2 linked regions of the Caenorhabditis elegans genome follow. The protein of the gene in region 1 purifies or fractionates together with the protein of each later gene. This does not show direct contact. Each region holds a gene or a part of one and is shown in the gene's direction. Other genes may lie near its edges.

The links.
Region 2: the proteins of crmb-1 (region 1) and algn-1 fractionate together in Caenorhabditis elegans (co-fractionation; one large-scale study listed by BioGRID). This does not show direct contact.

What each region holds. Positions count from the first base shown.
Region 1 is NC_003282.8:264,342-274,164, forward strand, and holds crmb-1 (Serine/threonine-protein kinase), read left to right. Parts: upstream 1-5,065; coding exon 5,066-5,097; intron 5,098-5,144; coding exon 5,145-5,827; intron 5,828-6,247; coding exon 6,248-6,355; intron 6,356-6,401; coding exon 6,402-6,485; intron 6,486-6,535; coding exon 6,536-7,758; downstream 7,759-9,823. Other genes in the region: T21D12.12 (BPTI/Kunitz inhibitor domain-containing protein), read left to right, coding at 2,110-2,280, 3,275-3,365, 3,410-3,523, 3,698-3,761, 3,819-3,930; srh-282 (Serpentine Receptor, class H), read right to left, coding at 7,974-8,171, 8,219-8,640, 8,736-8,922.
Region 2 is NC_003281.10:6,452,949-6,462,771, forward strand, and holds algn-1 (Chitobiosyldiphosphodolichol beta-mannosyltransferase), read left to right. Parts: upstream 1-7,171; 5' UTR 7,172-7,178; coding exon 7,179-7,213; intron 7,214-7,257; coding exon 7,258-7,413; intron 7,414-7,526; coding exon 7,527-7,716; intron 7,717-7,763; coding exon 7,764-7,891; intron 7,892-8,220; coding exon 8,221-8,373; intron 8,374-8,420; coding exon 8,421-9,234; 3' UTR 9,235-9,274; downstream 9,275-9,823. Other genes in the region: jhdm-1 (JmjC domain-containing histone demethylation protein 1), read left to right, coding at 1,535-1,848, 1,897-2,028, 2,079-2,655, 2,704-2,953, 3,072-3,206, 3,252-3,328, 3,384-3,626, 4,468-4,512 and 5 more; pole-3 (DNA polymerase epsilon subunit 3), read right to left, coding at 9,389-9,405, 9,460-9,589, 9,633-9,823.

The sequences.
Region 1 (9,823 bases):
CTCTGTTTTGGAACATTTCCTCTTTAAGCACTTAAATTTAAATTTGAAAAATCGATAATTCAATGTTCAAATAGCAGTAAAAATATTGTGTGGGAGGATTCTTTCCGTAGAGCAACACAAAAGTCCCCATCCAGGCCAGCAGATAGTGTAAAACAGCCGTCGTCAGTGTTGAAAAAGTGAGAGAGTGTTGGGAACAATAAGAGACGTAGAGTTGGAAGGAGAGTTTACGACAAATGAGAGATTGGGTGAAAAGAGGATGGTGCAGATAAATGGTGTGTGTGGGGGAGAGAGAAGGCTTTGGGATACATATAAATGTATGGGAATAGGAAAGAAGAACGGAAAGTTAATATTTGTATATGCATATGTATTGAGAAAGAAAAGGACGTCCATATAACAACTAATATTCAAATAAATAAAAATAAAAATAAATTAAGAAAGACAACAACTCTGCATTTACCGTATTTTCGCTATTAGTCTTGCATGCGAGACTAATTTTCAATTGGTCTTTAGGGGTGCAAGACTAATAGAGACTGAAAACTATTTTTCGAACTTTGGAAAGTGATACAATTTTGACCGTTCAAACAATGAAAAATACATACTTTCCCAATATTACATCAATTATTTGAACGATTTTACATTTGATTTACTCCAAAAATGATAAATTTGCTTACGTTTCCACAAAGTTCTGCTAATATGACAAAAAGTGGGGTGCTAGACTATTACAGGCTGTAAGACTGATTTTCAATTAGTCTGTAGGAGTGCAAGACTAATAGAGGAAATACGGTACAGTCGGTCCACAGGTCGGTCTTTTGAAAATAGTTTTTTCCATAGCAATTTTTGAAAAAATTTTGAAAAACAATTTTAGGAAAAAATTATGAAAAATCACATCAGTTACATTGATTATACGTACGGTACATTCGATTTCCTGGCGTATGATAATAGTTGCATTAAACCGAAATCAGATTAAGAAACATTGAACTAGTAATTGTAAAAATTAGCATGCAATCTAGAAAATTAGGAAATCTGAAAATTATTAAAGGTGGAGTAGGGCCAATGGAGTAAGTGTTAAAAAATACTCCTATGGTGCCAAAGTGACAAATAATCATAATAAAACTTTTCAAAACTTTTTTGAAAAATTTTTATTCACTGTCAAAAAGTGTTCAATATTCAGTTTTTGCCACTCATAATTTTGGAAGTCGACCAAAAAAAATTATTTTTCCTACATTTTTTATACTGTAATTTTGTTTCAATTATTTTTGTTGAATCATTGTAAAGACCGGAATATGCGACATTGCTTTGGATGTCCTCAAAAGCTCATATTTGTCAAAATTTTGGTAATGTGCCAAAACTTTGACCGAAATTAGGGAAAATCTAAAAATTTTTGTAGTTTTATTATGATATTCGGTCGTTTGAAATCATAATAAGCGTATTTAGACAAAATCCCCATTGACGCTACTCCACCTTTAAATTTTTGAAATTTCGTGTACTTCCTTCAAATTTGTTTAATCATCAACCCGATGCGTCTATCCTTCGTTATCAACAAATTGTAGGTGTCTGTGTCAAGAACTATTGTATCTCGTACAATCGAAAAACCAGTTCCTTCATTTTCAAAACGCTCCCTTATTTTCTTTGTTATCAACAATTCGATTTGTAAAAACGGAACCACATCGATTGTTGTCTCTTGTTATTACATCAATTCCTACACCATTTTCAGTCAAAGTGTGGATATTTTCTGAAAACTGAGCGATTTCAGCCAAATATTTGCCTGTTTTTCATTTTTCAATAAAACTTTGCCATGTTTTCAATCGTGCCCATTGATCTTTAATGAATTCTTTTTCGGGAGAATGTGTAGGTTATTTGTTAACCACCAACTCAATTTTGAACATTTTCCTGTTGACCAAACTTTTGATATTTGCCAAATCTTAGTTATGTAGGTGGGACGAAGATTCTTAAGTAAATATTGCTAGGAATTTGAGTATAAAATAGGAAAAGATCATTCGAGAATTGAAGTTTTCTTTTTGGTTTCTGCTTTTAATTGGCATTGGCTAGTAATATTATTCCACTCTCATTGATCATTAACGGGTAAAAAAAATTGTATTTTTTCAGACAATGCTAACTGCAATTACGATTTCCACCATTTTCATAACATTTTGCTTTGCTCAACAGCAGACAGATTGTTTTTCCGCTCGCGATACTGGAAATTCTGGATGTGGTCAGCAGGGAGCCCGCTCATTTTATTTCCACAAGAATACCCGCACATGTCAGCCATTTTTCTATCAGGTACTGTTTTTTCCAGTAGTCCTTTAGCATACTACCTATATTAGGTTTAGGTTTAGGCTTAAGCTTTGGTTTAGAGTTAGGCTGACAAGGGAAGCCTTTCAGCTCGTCCTCGGACTTCCGAATGAAACCTATTATAATTGAAAGAGGACCTTAATAGAAGGTCACTCCAAAATTTTTAGTCTCGGAGGAGGCTTACTAGGGAACCGTCAGAAGGTGCCCATCGGACTTGCATATGAGACCTATGCCATTCGATAACCCATGTCTTAAAACGGTTACTCGTGAATTTTTAGCTGCGAATCTCCAGAACCAAGCTCACGGCGAGCTCTCAAAGATCTTAAAATAGCACTGTAACGAAGCTTTGAAAGGTCAATTTTCCAAATTCACTTTGGTAGCTCATATCTCCGCCGATAAATTTTTTACAGAAAAGTCATCAACTAAAAAGTTGTTGATATTGTTGTAAAGAACAAGTTTTTAGTTAAATCTGAAACAACAATTTTTTTGATAAAAACTTTCAACTACAAGTTTTTATCAAAAAAATTTTTAGTTGATGACTTTTCTGTAAAAAATATATCCACGGAGATATAGGCTACCAAAGTGAATTTGGAAAATTGCTTCTTTTCATCGTTACAGTGCTTCGTTATAGTGCTATTTTAGAATCTTTGAGAGCTCGCAGTGACCTTGGTTCTGGAGATTCGCAGCTAAAAATTCACGAGTAACCGTTTTAAGACATGGGCTATCGAATGGCATAGGTTTCATATGCAAGTCTGATGGGCACCTTCTGATGGTTCCCTAGTTAGGCTTAGGTTTTGTCATAGGCTAAGGTTAGGCTTATGCCCAGGCTAAGGGCCATACTTACGGTATATTCTTAGCTTGTGCTTGAGCTGATGCTAGGAATATACCTTATCTTCTCACAAACGGAAATTTCTCGTTGAATTTAACAGAATAGTATACTTCTTGGAAAAACGTTCAATTAAAATGAATAAAACAATTTTAGGGATGCGACGGCAACTCCAATCGATTCCAATCGAAAGAGGCTTGTGAATCAGCTTGCCGGAACGCGACTGCTTCTGACGATTTAGCTTACGGTTAGTTGAACAATGGATGACAAAGGTGTATAATAGTTTTTCAGCTGTATGTCCATCTGGAGCATACCCAGCTGGAGCCACTTCTGGTCAGACTGTTGGATGTTCGAATTGCCCACATGGTTACGAGTGTCAAAATCAACAATGCTGTCCAACAAAAGGTTACTATTTTCTGAAGAGATTTTGAAAAGTTATAGTGATCTTTAAAACACAAGTTTAAAGCGGTTTGTACTTTGTCTGAACACTGGTGTTTTAGAACTAAAAACTCTGTTTCGATGTGTAAATATTTATTCAAATGTGAAAGAAGCACAACAAAAGATCGAAGAAATTTGCAGAAAACACATGTAGTTTGCAGTACGACGCTGGAAAATTCGGATCTAGTGGAAAACATACACCCAGGTAAGAATTCAACTAATTTTTATTGTACTTTCACGGATTCAATAAATTAAATTTCAGATATTTCTTCTCAAAGTCCTACAAGAACTGCATGCTGTTCACTTTCTATGGCCGCGATGGAAATGCTAACAACTTTGCTACGTACAACGAATGCAAAAACTTTTGCATGTAACATTTTAGCAAATAACAGTAGTTTTCTTAATGTATATAAATATTTCAAACGAAAACAATTTATTTTGCACAAAGACCTATATAAATGAATCATGCAAGTTGATAAAAATTACCAAAAAATCAAGTAAAGACGTGTTTAAATATCTTAATACTAGTTCAAAATAGATATTATTTACAGTAATATCACGGAACAGAGAAACTGGAATATCATAATAACTTCTTGCCACGATTTTAGTGGATAATCAATACATATAAGTACGAATAAACATAGTCATGTACTATATTACGTTAATTGAAAATTTTTCGGTAGCATTTCTAGTTTTATAGTTATACTTATTTGAAAAATTAGTGAAATTATCAAAAAACTAAAAGTGGATATCTTTTCGGCCAGCACTGTAATTGAATGTATTGTTTTCGCAGTTTTTTTAAAAATCATTTTTTATTTTGTTACTTACATTCGAGCGCACCCTTCAGATGTCTGCCGAAATAGCTTTTCTAAAAACTTGTGAAATTGAAAAGAGTTCAAATTTTCGTTGCAAAATCTTTTAATACATTCGGATTAAGAAGAATTTGTGTAAAACAAAAATGCTCAGTTTTCAATGTTTGCATGTTTTGAACAAATGCCTTGTTTAATGTTCTTAAAATCTTTTAAAACCAAAAACTCAAAGTATCAAACGCTATTGAAAACATTTATGTAGTTTAATTCATTCCTTGTTTCAATGCTTCATTCATTGTTTTCTGATCATCCAAAATGTTTGCTTCTTGCGTTATTCGATCATAAAAATAAAACGGTTTCAAAAAGTTCCGCTCGAGGCCAATTTGCAGCAGAGGAAGATGGAAGTGCACGCGCATCGAAGCAGTTTACAACTTCTCATGAAAGTGGAATCAAGACACATCCGTGGAAAATGATTCAGTTGAAGCTACAATTGTGTGAAATTAACGCCTACAAGACAATCTAAACAATCAGAATTGAACTTTCAAGATGTTTTCTTTCCTTTAGACAAAGTTTGTAAAATACTCAATTTTGTTCTATAGTAATTTTTGATAATGCTGTTTTAGGAGTTTCTGTCAATTTCAAAATGCTTCGTCTTCTTATTTTGCCAACAATATTGATAATACCTTTCTCAAATTCATGCATGACAACTTATCCAGCAGACACTCCTATTATGTAAGTTTCATTATTGTTGCCTTAAAATAATATATATATTCCTAAAGAACGCAACCTCCATCTCCAGATTCACCATCATCTTCCAATGGCTCCAGCACCAGTCTTAGCGAAAATTTGAATAACAACTCCGTTTCTAACCAAATCGAATATGTTAATCAAAATAATAATAGTGATAATTTTACAGTCGGCCTAGGATTTTTAGGGGCTTCTGGAAACTATGGAAATTATAGTTCACATTTGAATAATAACCTTTCTATTAGTCAAAATCAAAGCGTTTCCCTAAATTCTTCAAGTTCTAGTGTAGGAGCTGGGTTAACGCCTGGAAACGGATCAGTGGGTAGCACATCCAACTCCAGCTCGGCAGCTAGTTCAATTCAAAACATAGGTTTAAACAGTAGTCTGATCAACTCTAACACTAATAATTTGTCAAGTTCTAGTCATAGTATGTCAGGATCGAACAATAATAATAGTAATAATAACGTGGTTAATAATTATTTGACCGTTTATGGTAATAATGGAAGCTCTGGAGGTGGTTCCGGAAGTGGAGGTGGAAGTGGACCGGGAGCTGACTCACCAAGAATTCATTGCTGCCGTCCATGTTGTCCATATAGTCATCACCGTCGGTTGTGTGATCCTTGCTACTGCTCCAATCGACCAGAGTCACACCGAGATTCTTCTTCGTCCGAAGAAGTAAACGATGCGCAAAGTGATGAAAACACTTATTTCCAATGTAAGTAAAAATCAACTTTAGGAGTAATTTTTAACATTTGAAAAAAATGTTTCGATTGCAGAATATTTTCCATTTGTTACTCCACCTCTCTCTTTCTCTCTCTCTCTCTTAAATACTAACTCCTGTTGTTGCATTACTATTTTTCAGTACACTAATTTTTAGAGACTATAAAAATCATCATAATTTTTCTGATAGCGTTTTTTGTTGAATGGGTAAAGTATCCCTGTTAACCAAATTTAAAAACTTCAACACTTAAAATTGTCACTGGGAACCATTTCCTATCCACAAAAATTTCCAACGACACTACTGAATTCTCTCACTTGAAAGAGTTTCAGATATGTAACTTATAAAAAGTTTTCCCGTTCATACTGTTATCATTAACTTCCCCTGTTAATAACGCTTTAAAATGTTATGTTTCAGTTGACTTCATTGGAGTGGACGGACATCATGCTCGGCGAGTTTTACCTCCGAGTTGGAGGATTCTACGTAATTCGAAAGCTGAATCATCTGATGAATCGTCTTTAAGTGGTGAACAAAGAAGACCATGTGAAAACCGACGGCATAATAAATTTAGATGCCGTTCAAACTGTGGATCTTCCGAAAATTCCTCAGAAGAAAATACGTTGTGTCTATTCGATAGATGCAGAAGAAATAGAAGGTGCGGTGCTTTTCATAGATGTGCTCATCTTCCATGTTGTAAATTTGGAGGGAAGAAGTGCATGTTGGAATGCATCAGATCTAGCTGCCTTCCTAGATATGTAGAATGTCATCGAAGGCGGCGTTGTTCAAGAAAACAAAGATGTCACACAACAACACAACCACCAAGCCCCACGACAGAATCACTTCCAACTTCTACAACAACCTACGAAATGAATACAACGTCATTGGAAACTTCAACCACTGATATATCAACAATTACATCAACGGAAGAACCCATCAGCACAACGGTGAAGACACATGAACAATCGTCCACTTCCGGCATGGAGTTTTCCACGATGTCGACAACTTATGAACCAATAACAACGACTTTGGAAACTTCAACGACTGATATTTCAATAATTACATCAACAGAAGAACCAGACACCAGCACGACGACGGAGTCGAATGAACAATCGTCCACTACCGGCATGGAGTTTTCCACGATGTCGACAACTTATGAACCAATAACAACATCTTTGGAAACTTCAACCACTGATATGTTAACTAATACATCAACAGAAGAACCTGACATCAGCACGACAATAGAGCCAAATGCACAATCAACTACTTATGAAATGGAGTCTTCTACTGTATCGGTCACATATGAGCCAGAAACAACATCTTTAGAAACTTCAAGTACTAAAGTATCATCCACAACAGCAACGGGTGAACCTGCCAGTACGACGATGGAGGCGAATGAACATTCATCCACGTTTGAAACTGAGTCTTCTACTGTGCCAGCTACTAATGAACCTATAACAACGTCATTTATCCCTTCAACTACTGATCTATCAATTATTACTTCAACGGAAGAAGCAAAAATCAGCACGACAATGGAAACAGATGAACTATCAACCACAACGGAGTCAAGCTACTCCACAACTCAGTTTACAACCTTCAAAATCCCAACATCCTCATTTTCGACGCTTCCTATGGAAGGAACTTCTACAAAGGAGCAGACTACTCTGTCTACAGAAGAAACATCTTCAGCCACAACAGCGACCATTTTTGAAAAACTTTCTACAACTCTATTCTTTGAAGAAACACAAGTAACATCAACGTCTGACTTTACATCGTCTCCTAGAAGTATTGAAACAACACGTGTCATAGAGTTCGATACTTCAACGGAACTGCAAACGACTTCCAAAACCTCTACCACTACAGAAGATACAACAACAGTGGGGACGACAACTGAAATGGAGATGAGAAGATTCTGGAGACTATTCGGATGACCGGATATATTTTATTTCTTGATATGTTTCTGTTTTGAGTATTTGATTTCGGGTAAATGAATGGGTTACATTATATATTTTTTGAAACTATTTAACAAAACTAAATAAATTTTGAAAAACTATTCAAAGTTCTCTGTTCGCTCACTACAACTCATGTTCTATCATAATCATATACGTTTGTTTTCTTCAATTAAAAAATTCATTCCTTAAGAGCATCACTTGAAATTAAAGATCTGTTTAAAATATTGTCGGTACGGTTTTTGAAGATAAATCATCAAAACGGTAGATGAAACACCATGTAGGGAGATTATATTACGTGCTAAATTTCCACTGCCTTGGTCGGAAATGTTATATGCTCCCATTATAGCCAACCAAGCAGAAGGTAGAACTACGAATAGTAGTGGTATTAAAATCTTAAAAAAAAAGAAAAAAATGAAAAAAAAAAAATTGAAACACAGACCTGTAATTTTATGGATTTCACGAAATCCCGTTGTAGTTGTAAAGTTTTATTGGACACGATCATTTTTCTTACTGCCCAGTTCATATTCACTTGTAGCAATGTTCCGAACACTATCATTTCAATAATTATAATTATCGTAAAAACTCTTTGAGAGTACACTGGGATCCACGGAAAATCGAGAGCCATAACGAATATAGGATTTTCAGGCGAATCAAATTGAATAAGCTCAGGATGTACCATAAATAATTGTTGCCTTGGAAGATATTGGTCAGGCATAGCATAATAAGTTGGAAGATAAAATGCCACTCCAAAGGTGATGTTGAACACTTTGAACGGGTATCTGACATGCCGCCACCAAGTTTTCTCTGCGAAGAGCACGAAGAAGCGGTTCTCGAATAACTGAACTGTGGATATTGCACAAACTGAAAATAATTTGAAGAATCTGGTTTTTTGTGGTTTTTGATGGAGGTTTTACGGTTTTCGGTTACAAGGTAATTAAATGAAAATTTCAACCTACATGCTGCAATAGTCATTCCAAAATAAATTTGAGCTCCCGTCCCTATACCTATCATGTGTAAAAACCCTAAAGGAATTCCGGCCATTGTAGTAGAGAAAAGGTATGGTTGACCCACACAGGTCATAATCATATCATATGCCATAGACCACATCAGAAAATTTAGCAGATGAAGTTTTGTAGAACACATTGTCGGTGGAGTCTTTGCGATAATACAGTATACGCCAAATAGTTGAACTGGTAGTGATATCACAGCTATCGAGTACTGAATTGTTGAGTAAACGGGAATCGAGCCAAAAAATTTCAAGAACATGTCTGTTTTGAGATAGAAAAGAGAATGCATCAGAAAACTGAAGCCATTTTATGAAGAAATATTTGAAGGTGGTTATTATACGAAGCACATGATGTGTATAACCAATAGTTTCACATAAGTGAAAATTATGAGCGAATAATAAAAAAGAAAGAGGAAACTAACCCTACAACGCAGATTTATGGGGGTGTGATCAAGCTGGAAACAATCTTCGACCGTTTGCGAGTCGCGGTGTTGCTCATTGTGCCCGATTCCGCTGACAATCGTATGTCGAGTAGGCCAATTCTGCAAAAATCCTGGTGGACAGACACCTCAAAAATTAAGTGTGAATATGGGCTGAAAGACTAATTTTCATGGTATGTAGTTTGTCAAGGCGCAAGACTACTAATAAAGGCTACTATTATAAAGAATACTAGAAGCTGCACTTATAGAGGAAATATCTCGACATTTGGCTTCAGCTTCTTGCCCAAGTTTGGCCAGAAAAATATTAACTTGGAACAGAAGTTGGCTAAACTTGGGCAAAAGTTGGGCAAGACTCTGGCAAAACTTGGATTTATGCTGCGCCAAAGTTTAACCCAAGTTTGACCCAACTCTTGTCAAATTTTTGTCCACATTTAAAGCTAAAAAAGGAAAGTTCGGGCCAAGCTTGGGTTTAACTTTGGCGCAGCTTAAATCCAAGTTTAGCCAACGTCTTGCCCATCTTTTTCTCAAGTATATCCAACTTCTGACCCAAGTCAATATTTTTCAGGCCATACTCGAGCAAGCTCTGGAATCAAATGCC
Region 2 (9,823 bases), on another chromosome or scaffold:
AGCGTTATTGCACTCACGGTAGATGTCGGTGGTTGGTGTAAAAAATGGTGGATTGAAATTATGGAATTGAACTTTAAAATGTATATTTCCGTAATAATAGATACACTTATTGGGCTCGTAAAATTAAACAGAAAAGATACTCAAAGATTAAAATTTAGATAAATTTTGACGCCATGCGCATGACTAATGTTTCTATTTATATTTTAAATATTATACCAACTGGAATTTTAAATTTAGATGTCCTATTGATCTATTAATTTTGACTGAATTGAAAAAAAACAACTATGAGAAACAGAGCAACAAATCGATGGCAACATCGTGCACAAGAGTGTCATCGCATAAAAAATGCAGTTTGTCATTCTTCAATGCGACTACATGAGAGCCCGACGAAGAAGATATGCTGAAAAAAAGAACATCGAATCGGTGTCGAGAATCTGAATGACATAAGAAGATGCAGCCGCTGGTTTATTGATGCTGGCAGCTAATCGATTATGAATGGGTAATTAGAAAACGATCGGTATATTCTATTCCATTCCCTTCCTATTTATGCTGCGGTCGATAAAACGCTAAATCGATAAAAAGTTTAGTCGTTGTAAGATTGAGCAGCAAACAAAGAATGGTGCCGTCCACCCGTTCGTTTTCGACTGTTTTGTCAATTCAGCGGTCTACGTCACAACGCCACATAATTGTAGGCCAGAAAGGATGTCAGGGGAAATCGATACGAATTATCAGGAATAAGGAAGAAATATTGACCTTGAAAACCCAGAATTGTATTTTAATGGAATAAATAGTAAAAAAGAGGAAGAAATAGTGAAATCAGGGAGTGAAAAGAAAGGAGGCTGGTTATACGATCAAACAACAAACAGGAATGCACTATGGGGTGAGGGTGAGGAGAGTCGCAGAGAGAGAAACGGCTTGCGTCGAACACGCCAGTGGTCCAGCTTGCGCCTTTTCCGTTCCTTGCCCATAGTTTCTATTTCGATTTTTGCACGCTTTTTGCTTTAATGTTTTGAATGTGTATTTCTCTCTTATTGCTTTTAAGAAGCATTTAAAAGCAAAAATAATCAAATTTTAACTTTTTTCATCGTAGTGCGGAAAATTATGTTCAAAATTTGTCAATTTATTTAAAGATAATTCCTTACTCGGTCTTATTAACGCTTCAATCAAAACAATTAGAAACAGTTTTCAAAAATAAGATGAAAAAAGTCCAAAAAATTAAATAAATAAGAACCGACAAATCGATCGATTTTTTAAAATCACTGTGTTCCGTTTGAGACCCTTCGAAAATTCCATGTACCTTTAATTCAAGCAGTTCACGAAACTTTTTTTGGGTACTTAATTTACATTTTCTTTTATTAAAAGCCATTAGAATCTCGAAAGTTAATCTAATTAATCGCTTGAAAATGTCCTGAGAAAAACTCCGTTCTCTGCGTTCAAGTCTTTAATTGATTTACCGTAGTTACGCCAACTTTATGACAGTTTTGTATCATAACTAACCATTTTCCTATGATTCTAATAAAATATATTATTTTAGATGCCGCCGAAACGGAAATCAAATGGAAAAACGCCAGCGAACGGTAAAAAGGGCGCAAAGAAGGCTAGGAAAGAGTCAAGTTCAGAGCACGAACATAGTGCTTCAGAAGGTGAAGAAACTACTGGATTCGATAAGTCGTCACTTCAACGATGTGTGAATTTTGATTTCGAAGCTCTGATGAATGATCCGTCTTTCCAACATCCCGAATTTGTACATACAATGGACCCAGAAGCTTTAAATTTGGAGTTCTACGACAAAAATGGACTTGACAACCCGATACATTTCCGATGTGATCCAAAAAGAATAGGAATGACGTGAGTATTGATTTTTCCAATTAATTGTAAAAATAAATATTTTTACAGACTTCCCTCACCAGATTTCTCAGTGGATGATGTCCTCGAACTGGTAGGCGGAAATCGAATGATAGAAGTTGTTCAAGTCCAGAATCAAGGAAGTGTGAAAATGTCGTTACAGGAATTTATAAACTTCTACAAGTGAGTAATTACAAATTAGTATTAAACACCAATCAAACTTCATTTTCCAGAACGCCACAAGAAAAACGAGAAGTACTGTACAATGTTCTATCTCTAGAATTTTCCCAAACTCCCTTAGAAGATCTCGTAAAATCTCCAGAACTTGTTCGTCAAATCGACTGGGTTGGAAACCAGTGGCCAGATGCTCTGCGCCAGAGGTGGATCTCATTCAACGGAAGAGACAAAAAATTCTACAATCCGCATCATACTTTTCCAAAAGTTCAAAACTACTGCCTGATGAGCGTAGCGAACTGTTATACAGATTTTCACATTGATTTTAGTGGAACATCTGTGTGGTATCATGTACTGAAAGGTCGTAAAGTCTTTTGGTTGATTCCACCAACCGAAACCAACTTTTTTATTTATCAAGAATTTATTAAAACTGTCAACGATAATGCGTTCTTTGGAAAGTCGGTCGAAAAGTGCCACGTGGCTATCTTGGAGCCAGGAGACACGATGCTAATTCCAAGTGGATGGATTCATGCCGTATATACTCCAGATGATAGTCTCGTTTTTGGAGGCAATTTTCTTCACTCACAATCATGCAAAACACAATTAAGAGTTTATCAAGTTGAAAATAAGTTGAATGTGAGTTTTTACAGAAGACTTGTAAATAACAAATTTGAAACATTTCAGATCACTAGAAAATTTCGCTTACCGTACAATGAAGAACTTATTTTCTACGTTATAGCTGATTATGTAAAACAATGGACAGGAAGAGAATATGTGAGACCACTTCGAATCGAAGATGCAAAATATGACTATGTTGGAGACAAATGGAAAACCGCTGGTGGCCATCATAAGAAAATCGAATACTCAGATTACGAAACTGGAGTTGAATTGACAAACGATATGATTAAAGGAGACGAGGAATCCACAAAAGATGGTAGAGTATTTTTTATTTTTTAATGTCAAAAAAGAATGAATGACTAATTTAAAATGGTTTCTTTGATCTTTTTAATATTTTTCTCTCTTTTATATGATTTTAAAATCGAAATTTTCAGAAGTTAAAGTGATTGCAATGCACGCGGAGAATTCACTATTTGGTTATCCTATGGTCAGCAAAGCAACGTTTTCAGCTGACACGGGTCTTGAAGAAGAAGCTGACGAAGATGAAGTCAAGTATCAAGAAACTAAAGGTAAGGAGATTTAAACACGACAGTAATAAAATTGATGAATTTCAGAAGAAATGGATGCTCGACGCGATGCTGAAATCGATGAACTAGCTAATTCAAATTCATTAATTTTCTACAAGAACCGTGTAAGAATTTATCGAATTCAATGAAGTTTCCTCTCGAAATTTACATGTTTTTCAGACGCACGATTTTGTTCGAAATAAATGCGTGCCGGACCACAAACTTCCAATTGGACACGAGCCGCCAATCTACTTTAACGATGATGAGATTTCTAGGATATCCCCTCGACTTTTGGATGAACTTGAAACTCTTGGCACTTATATTCGTCGAAAAGCACGTGTCGAAGTGGCTGAAGGAATATGCCAGCCAGCGTCTCTCATTAACACATTCCAAACTGTTTTGAAAAAAAGACGTTCTGAATTGGTAAGTCAAAAAGACCGATAAACATTGTTGAAAGTAGTAGATAGTGAGAAGTGAAAGACTGTTGAAACGCCTGCGTCTCTATCGCCCTCTTCATCTCGTTCTGCATGCGTCTCTATGGCCTCAAACTGTCGTATTATTTTGCAGGCTATTGGCATAGTGAGAAAAACTTATCTGATCTAGGTTTTTTTAGGTATAATTGAAAAATTGTTTGATGAGCTGTTATTCTTTTCTGCCCTGAACAAACGTTTATTTCGATAATTTTTAGTTACACTAACACTAAGTTTATTTACATTTAGTGCTCTATTTTTGTGTAAAATTATTGTTAATGTCACTTGCCACATCTAATTGTCACATCCATTGTTACAGCCGGTAATTGTACTGCGAAACGCGCGATTCTAAAAGACGATCGAATGATCTCTTACAGTCTGTTTAATAATTTGCAACCGGGGCACTCATAATTTTGTAAATATCTCGCAAAGATCCATCTGTCTTTTTTTTTCAAATTTCCACTACTTAGTGGCGAATAATGCTAGTTTCCTAATTTTTCAGCCGAACTAAAGTCAATCGACTCATACCACATACACCGACACGTTCAATCTCCTTCACTATCTCACTATTATAATCTCATAATCTGTAAATTTTCTAATAATCCGTTCACAAAAAGATATAACAATTCTAATACTAATTATTAATTTGCGTCGAGAATAAATTCCTTTTTGTGCTGCATTAAAATTTTCAAAATGTTTTTTTTTTTGTAGTTGCCCAAGTCTTCATACTTCTCACTATCGTTTAAAGTGTGCAAATTGTTTTTTTTTTAAATTTTAATTGTTTTGACTTTCAGACAGGGAAGAAATTTGAATTCAACCAGATAATGCCTCGAAGATATGTAAGTTTTTATATTGTTATTATTTCTGAAAATTATTGCAATTGGTTGAAAATCTAACTTTCAGACTCGATCCACCATGGAAACCGGTGAATATGACTTCCAGCCGACGCAAGAAGTACCACAAGAATCTGCGAGAAGAAGCACAAGATTCAAAGTTGATAACTTTCCCGATGAGCTTTTAGAATCGGAAGTGACTGATAAGCCTATTATATTGCCTCAACAACCATCATCAGGACCTCTCGAATATCTTCCTGCACCCAAAGATGAAATTAAAGAGGATATTAATGGTTTTGAAGAAGAATTTGAGGAGGAATATGAAGGAATTGGGCAACGTGATGATCAGGAGGAAGAGGAATACGATGCCGAAGAGCCGGAAGATCAAGAGGAGGAAGAAGAAGATGAATATCAAGCCGAAGAATATACTCCAACTCCAGTTACAAGACGTTCTAGTTCAAGACGTTCAGGTGCTAAAAATGATGAATCAGAAGAAGTGTCAGTAAAGAAGGACAAAAAGGAAAAGATGGAGAAAGTTGAAAAAGACGAGAAGAGAAGGAATTCGAAGAGTAAGAAAGACAAAATTTCGAAGGAAAAGAAGAAGAAGGAGAGAGAACGTATTGAATTGGAAAGTCAACTCGATGCAGAGCTCAGAGCTGCTCATGGAGGAGGATCGAGCAAATCTAAAAAGAAAAAGCCAGAGAAGCCGGCATTTGTTGGTGGACTTCCAACTTCATCTATTCAAATCGATCCAGTTGTTTCAAATCCGTATAACTATGATCCCAGAATGGAGATGATGAAGCTTGGAACTGGACAGCTCAAGTCAGCATACAGAAAAACGAAAAATGTGAGTTTTTATCTGTTTTGTTCATTCAATTTTAATATTAACTATTTTAAGAACGTCGAACTTCATATTGAAAAGAATCTCTACAAGATTGAGCCGAAACGAGGAAGTGAGGAAGGAAGTCAAAGCCGCGAGCAAAGTATGGAACCAGAGCACAGTACTCCAGTTTTCACGACTTTTGATGATATAAATGAAGCAAATAATGATCATTACGATGGACAGAAGCCTCCAACTAAAAGAGCTAAATGTAAGTCTTATTTGAAATTTTCGTACTTAAAATTCAAAAAATCAATTTAATTCCAGATGAGGCAATTAGTGTTGACACATATGAAACTCCATCGTCTTCAAGAAATAAAGAACACAAAGAATATCGTCCCAGTCCGAACGCTGCTCCAACTCCATCACCATCCCATCATCAAAAACCAAAACTTTCATCTCCAGCAATGGTCTCATCGACAAACGAATATCAGTTACGAAAACACATGTCGAGCGAACGGCGAAGCAGTGATGCAGGATCGGCAATGAAAAAGGGCGTATATATGCCTGCAATGTCTCGTCAGGATAAGATGATTGCTGAGGGAGCATCTGCTCCCTCGTCACGTCACTCCTCGATCTCATCTGAACGTCGTCCGAGTTTCATACCTGATTTCAACTCTTCTCGTAATTCATCTATTGATACACCATACACTCCGACTACTGTAACACCTTCAAGAGTAAGATTTTGATGCAATTTTTAGCAAACATTTTTCTTATTTTTTCAGTCTTCTTGGCTCCCGAACACGTCGTCCATTAATCGTCACTCAATTGAAGATGATTCTCCAATAGATGTTGTCAATGATTCATTATCACCAATAAATATAGCCAGCTCGCCGACCTACCCAACTGCAATCACTCCACCACCGGTTACTCTCAGCGATTTGAAGAAGGATATGTCAAATGGACGCAAAAGTCATAGTCAGCATCATGACGATGGGTTCGTATAGTATTAAAGAAATTATATATTATAATTTGTATTATTTAGGCACAAGCACAAGATTCCATCAAAAGAAGCGATTGCAGAGCTGAAGCTTCTCGTCGGAAAACTTAAAGCTATCAATGATTCCTAGTTCTGATCTGCTATTCAACTAAGGAATCGATCGTCGCCTCTTTACATTTTCATTTACAATTATTTTCTTGTTTTTAACAAAAATGTTCTTAATCAACAAGTTCGGGCTCTGTCGCAAAATATAAGCTCTCATTTTCCAACATTTGTTTCTATCTTAATGTCCATTAATATATGGTTTTTGTTGTTATCTCGTGTTATTTTAAGTTCCAGCATTTGCGAAAGTTGTCTGAATTTCTTGAATTAACACATCCATTGTTTTTTCAAGCTACCTCAATTTGCAATGTTATTCAAACACCTATTGCTGTTCATTTTTCATTCCAAATTATCTATCTTTACCCGTTTTTTACTCCTCCCATTTTTCAAAAATAATTTTATCTGCAACGTCGTGGTCTGATGATGATTCTCGTACAGAAATTCTTTTTTGCATCTCAATGTTTCCAACTAATTTCCCGTCGATATCCGTTGTTTTTTATCTATCGTATTTTTTTAAAAACAAATGCCAATACCAATTCACGAGAGCTTTACTTGCCTTGATGAACCGTATCTCTGTATTCATTTTTTGTTTACTTGATCCTTTTCTAGTTTTTTCATTTTAATAAAGCAGACGTTAGAATTTATCGTTTACGGACTGGAAAATAGGTGGAAATTCCTTGTAGTCTATACTTTTGCAATAGGAAATTTCCATAATTCAAGCTTAAAAAATTGAATCTTCATAGGCGTACAATGGCAAAGGAAGACGACGAATCGCCAGACGAGAGGTAAAACAAAAAATTTTTAAAAATTACTGAAAATAACAGTTTAGAAGTGAAGCCGCAGTCGTCGTTCTTGGTGATGTCGGCAGAAGCCCACGAATGTGTAATCACGCAAAAATGCTCGCTGATGAAGGATTTGATGTCAAACTTATTGGATTTTTCGATTCTATTCCAGGAGAACAAATTATGAATCATCCAAGGATAAAGTGAGTTTCAGAAAATTTTTATCTAAAAAATTTGCAAAAAAGTTGTTCCGTTTAAAAAAATAAATTTAGTTACAAATCATCCAAAGAATTTTTCCAAATAAATAAAATTTCAGAATAGTTGGAATCCCGCCACCTCCTGACTTCATGGATTCGTTACCAGCTTTCGTGCAACTTCCACTGAAACTTTTTTGGAACTTTATAACTCTTTTCTTGGCTCTCGCTTTTCAAACAAGCGCCTTTAATTTAAGAATTATTCTTATGCAGAATCCGCCGGCGCTTCCGACGATGATAGTTTGTTTCATGGTAGGATTCTACTGACTACCGTTATAAAATATCAACTTTAATTTCAGTTTTCCATATTCAAATTCGCAAAATTCTCAATTGATTGGCACAATTACATGTATTCAATTCTACAAAATAAATACCAATTGACCGATGATCAAGTTTTTGGAAACGATAAAAAAACCAAAAAAGCCCAGTGAGTATTGGACACCGGCATTGTTCCCCGACGCGAAAAAAAACAGTCGGTACTCGGTCTCCACACGACAAATCTTTGTGAAACGAAGAATGACATACGCCTTTAAAGAGTACTGTAATTTATCCCATGAAAAATATTTTTTACGAAAACTGGAAAAATCACATCAAACTGTTGCAGCAACGAATTTGAAACTATAGTACTCTTCAAAGGCGCATAACCTTTCATATTTAACGAAAACTTGTCGTGCCGAGACCGGGCAACGTATTTTAGCCAAAACATTCGCGTCTGTACAATAAATCAAACTCGTATTGAACAATTTACATTTTCAGAATTGTGAGATGTGTTGGATTCCTAGAAGGTCTATGTGGAAAACTATCCGATTATAATCTGTGTGTAACAAATGCCATGCGTCGAGATCTCATGGATCGATGGGGCATCAGAGCCAGCACATTCTATGATAGGCCGCCGACGTGGAAATTTAGGTTTGAACAAATGTGAAATTTCTGAAAATTAATCTCGAAATTTTCAGAGACACAACAATACAAGAGATCCATGATTTGTATCTAAGACTTTCACAAAAGGAACGAATTCTACAAGGAAAAGACGAAGACTCCACAATTCTGACTCATAAATCTTCGAACGGAGTAGTGCAGCTACTAACAACTCGACCCATTGTGTTTCTCTCTTCCACATCCTGGACACCTGATGAACGGTTTGAAATTCTTCTCGATGCGCTGGTTGCATATGACAAAACAATCGGACTCCCGCGAGTTTTGATGATTATCACTGGAAAAGGTCCACTGAAAGCGAAATATTTACAAGAAATTCACGAGAAAAATCTGAAGAATGTCGATGTATTGACTCCATGGTTGGAAGCAGAAGATTATCCAAAGATTCTAGCCTCTGCTGACTTAGGAATCTCTTTGCACACAAGCACGTCTGGATTGGATCTTCCGATGAAAGTTGTTGATATGTTTGGAGCTAAAGTTCCAGCATTGGCTCTAAAATTCAAATGTATTGATGAGCTCGTTGAGGAGAAAACTAATGGATATCTTTTCGATGATTCTGAGCAGTTGAGTCGTCAAATTATTGAACTTTCTCGTGGATTCCCAAATAATTGCAATGAATTGATACGGCTCAAGAAGAATACACAGGAGCAAAAATTCGATTCTTGGGAAGTGATGTGGAAGAGATCAGCTACCTCTGGTGCAGACTTTCGAGTTCCAGACAATGGATTCGCCAAACTTCGTGCAATTATTCAATTCTCATTTTTCGCTATTTTATTGATCATGCCGATTCACTTATTTATGGGCACTTTTTCGGGGGCATTCAGATCGCTTTAATTTTTTTTCGGGGTTTTGTACATTCAATAAACTATTGGCCAAAATTGTTTATCAAAGTGAAATGTTAGAGACAAAAGTGGGACACGCGTTGAGAATCGGAATGAGATTTTACAGGAAGGATCGTTTTGAGCAGGAATGAGTTGGTTATGAGTGATCAGTTCATCAATGAATCTGCAATATTATAAATTATTCAGATAAACTTCAGATTTAAAGAATAGAACTAACCATCGACAGGAGTATCGTCAATAATGTCGTCATCCATTTCAGCATTGACAGAGCTGGATTCAACTGGATTTTTACGAGCGAGAGCCTTCTGCTGACTAATAACTTTCCATTTATCGTTGGCGGACTTGCACTGGAAATTTTAATTTCTTAACTCTTTCGAAACCCATAATTACATGATTGTGAATAGAAGTATTCTCAAGCTCTCGGAGTCCTTTGACAACATCATCTCCTGAGATCGTCTTGTGCTTCTGATCGCGAGCAGATTGAGCCGAAACGTCGGACAAGTTTATGAGAAACACTGCTGCAGCACGAGCGATGACGTCTCGAGCATCTTTTGATGCAGAAATATTGTCTTCTTTCATGA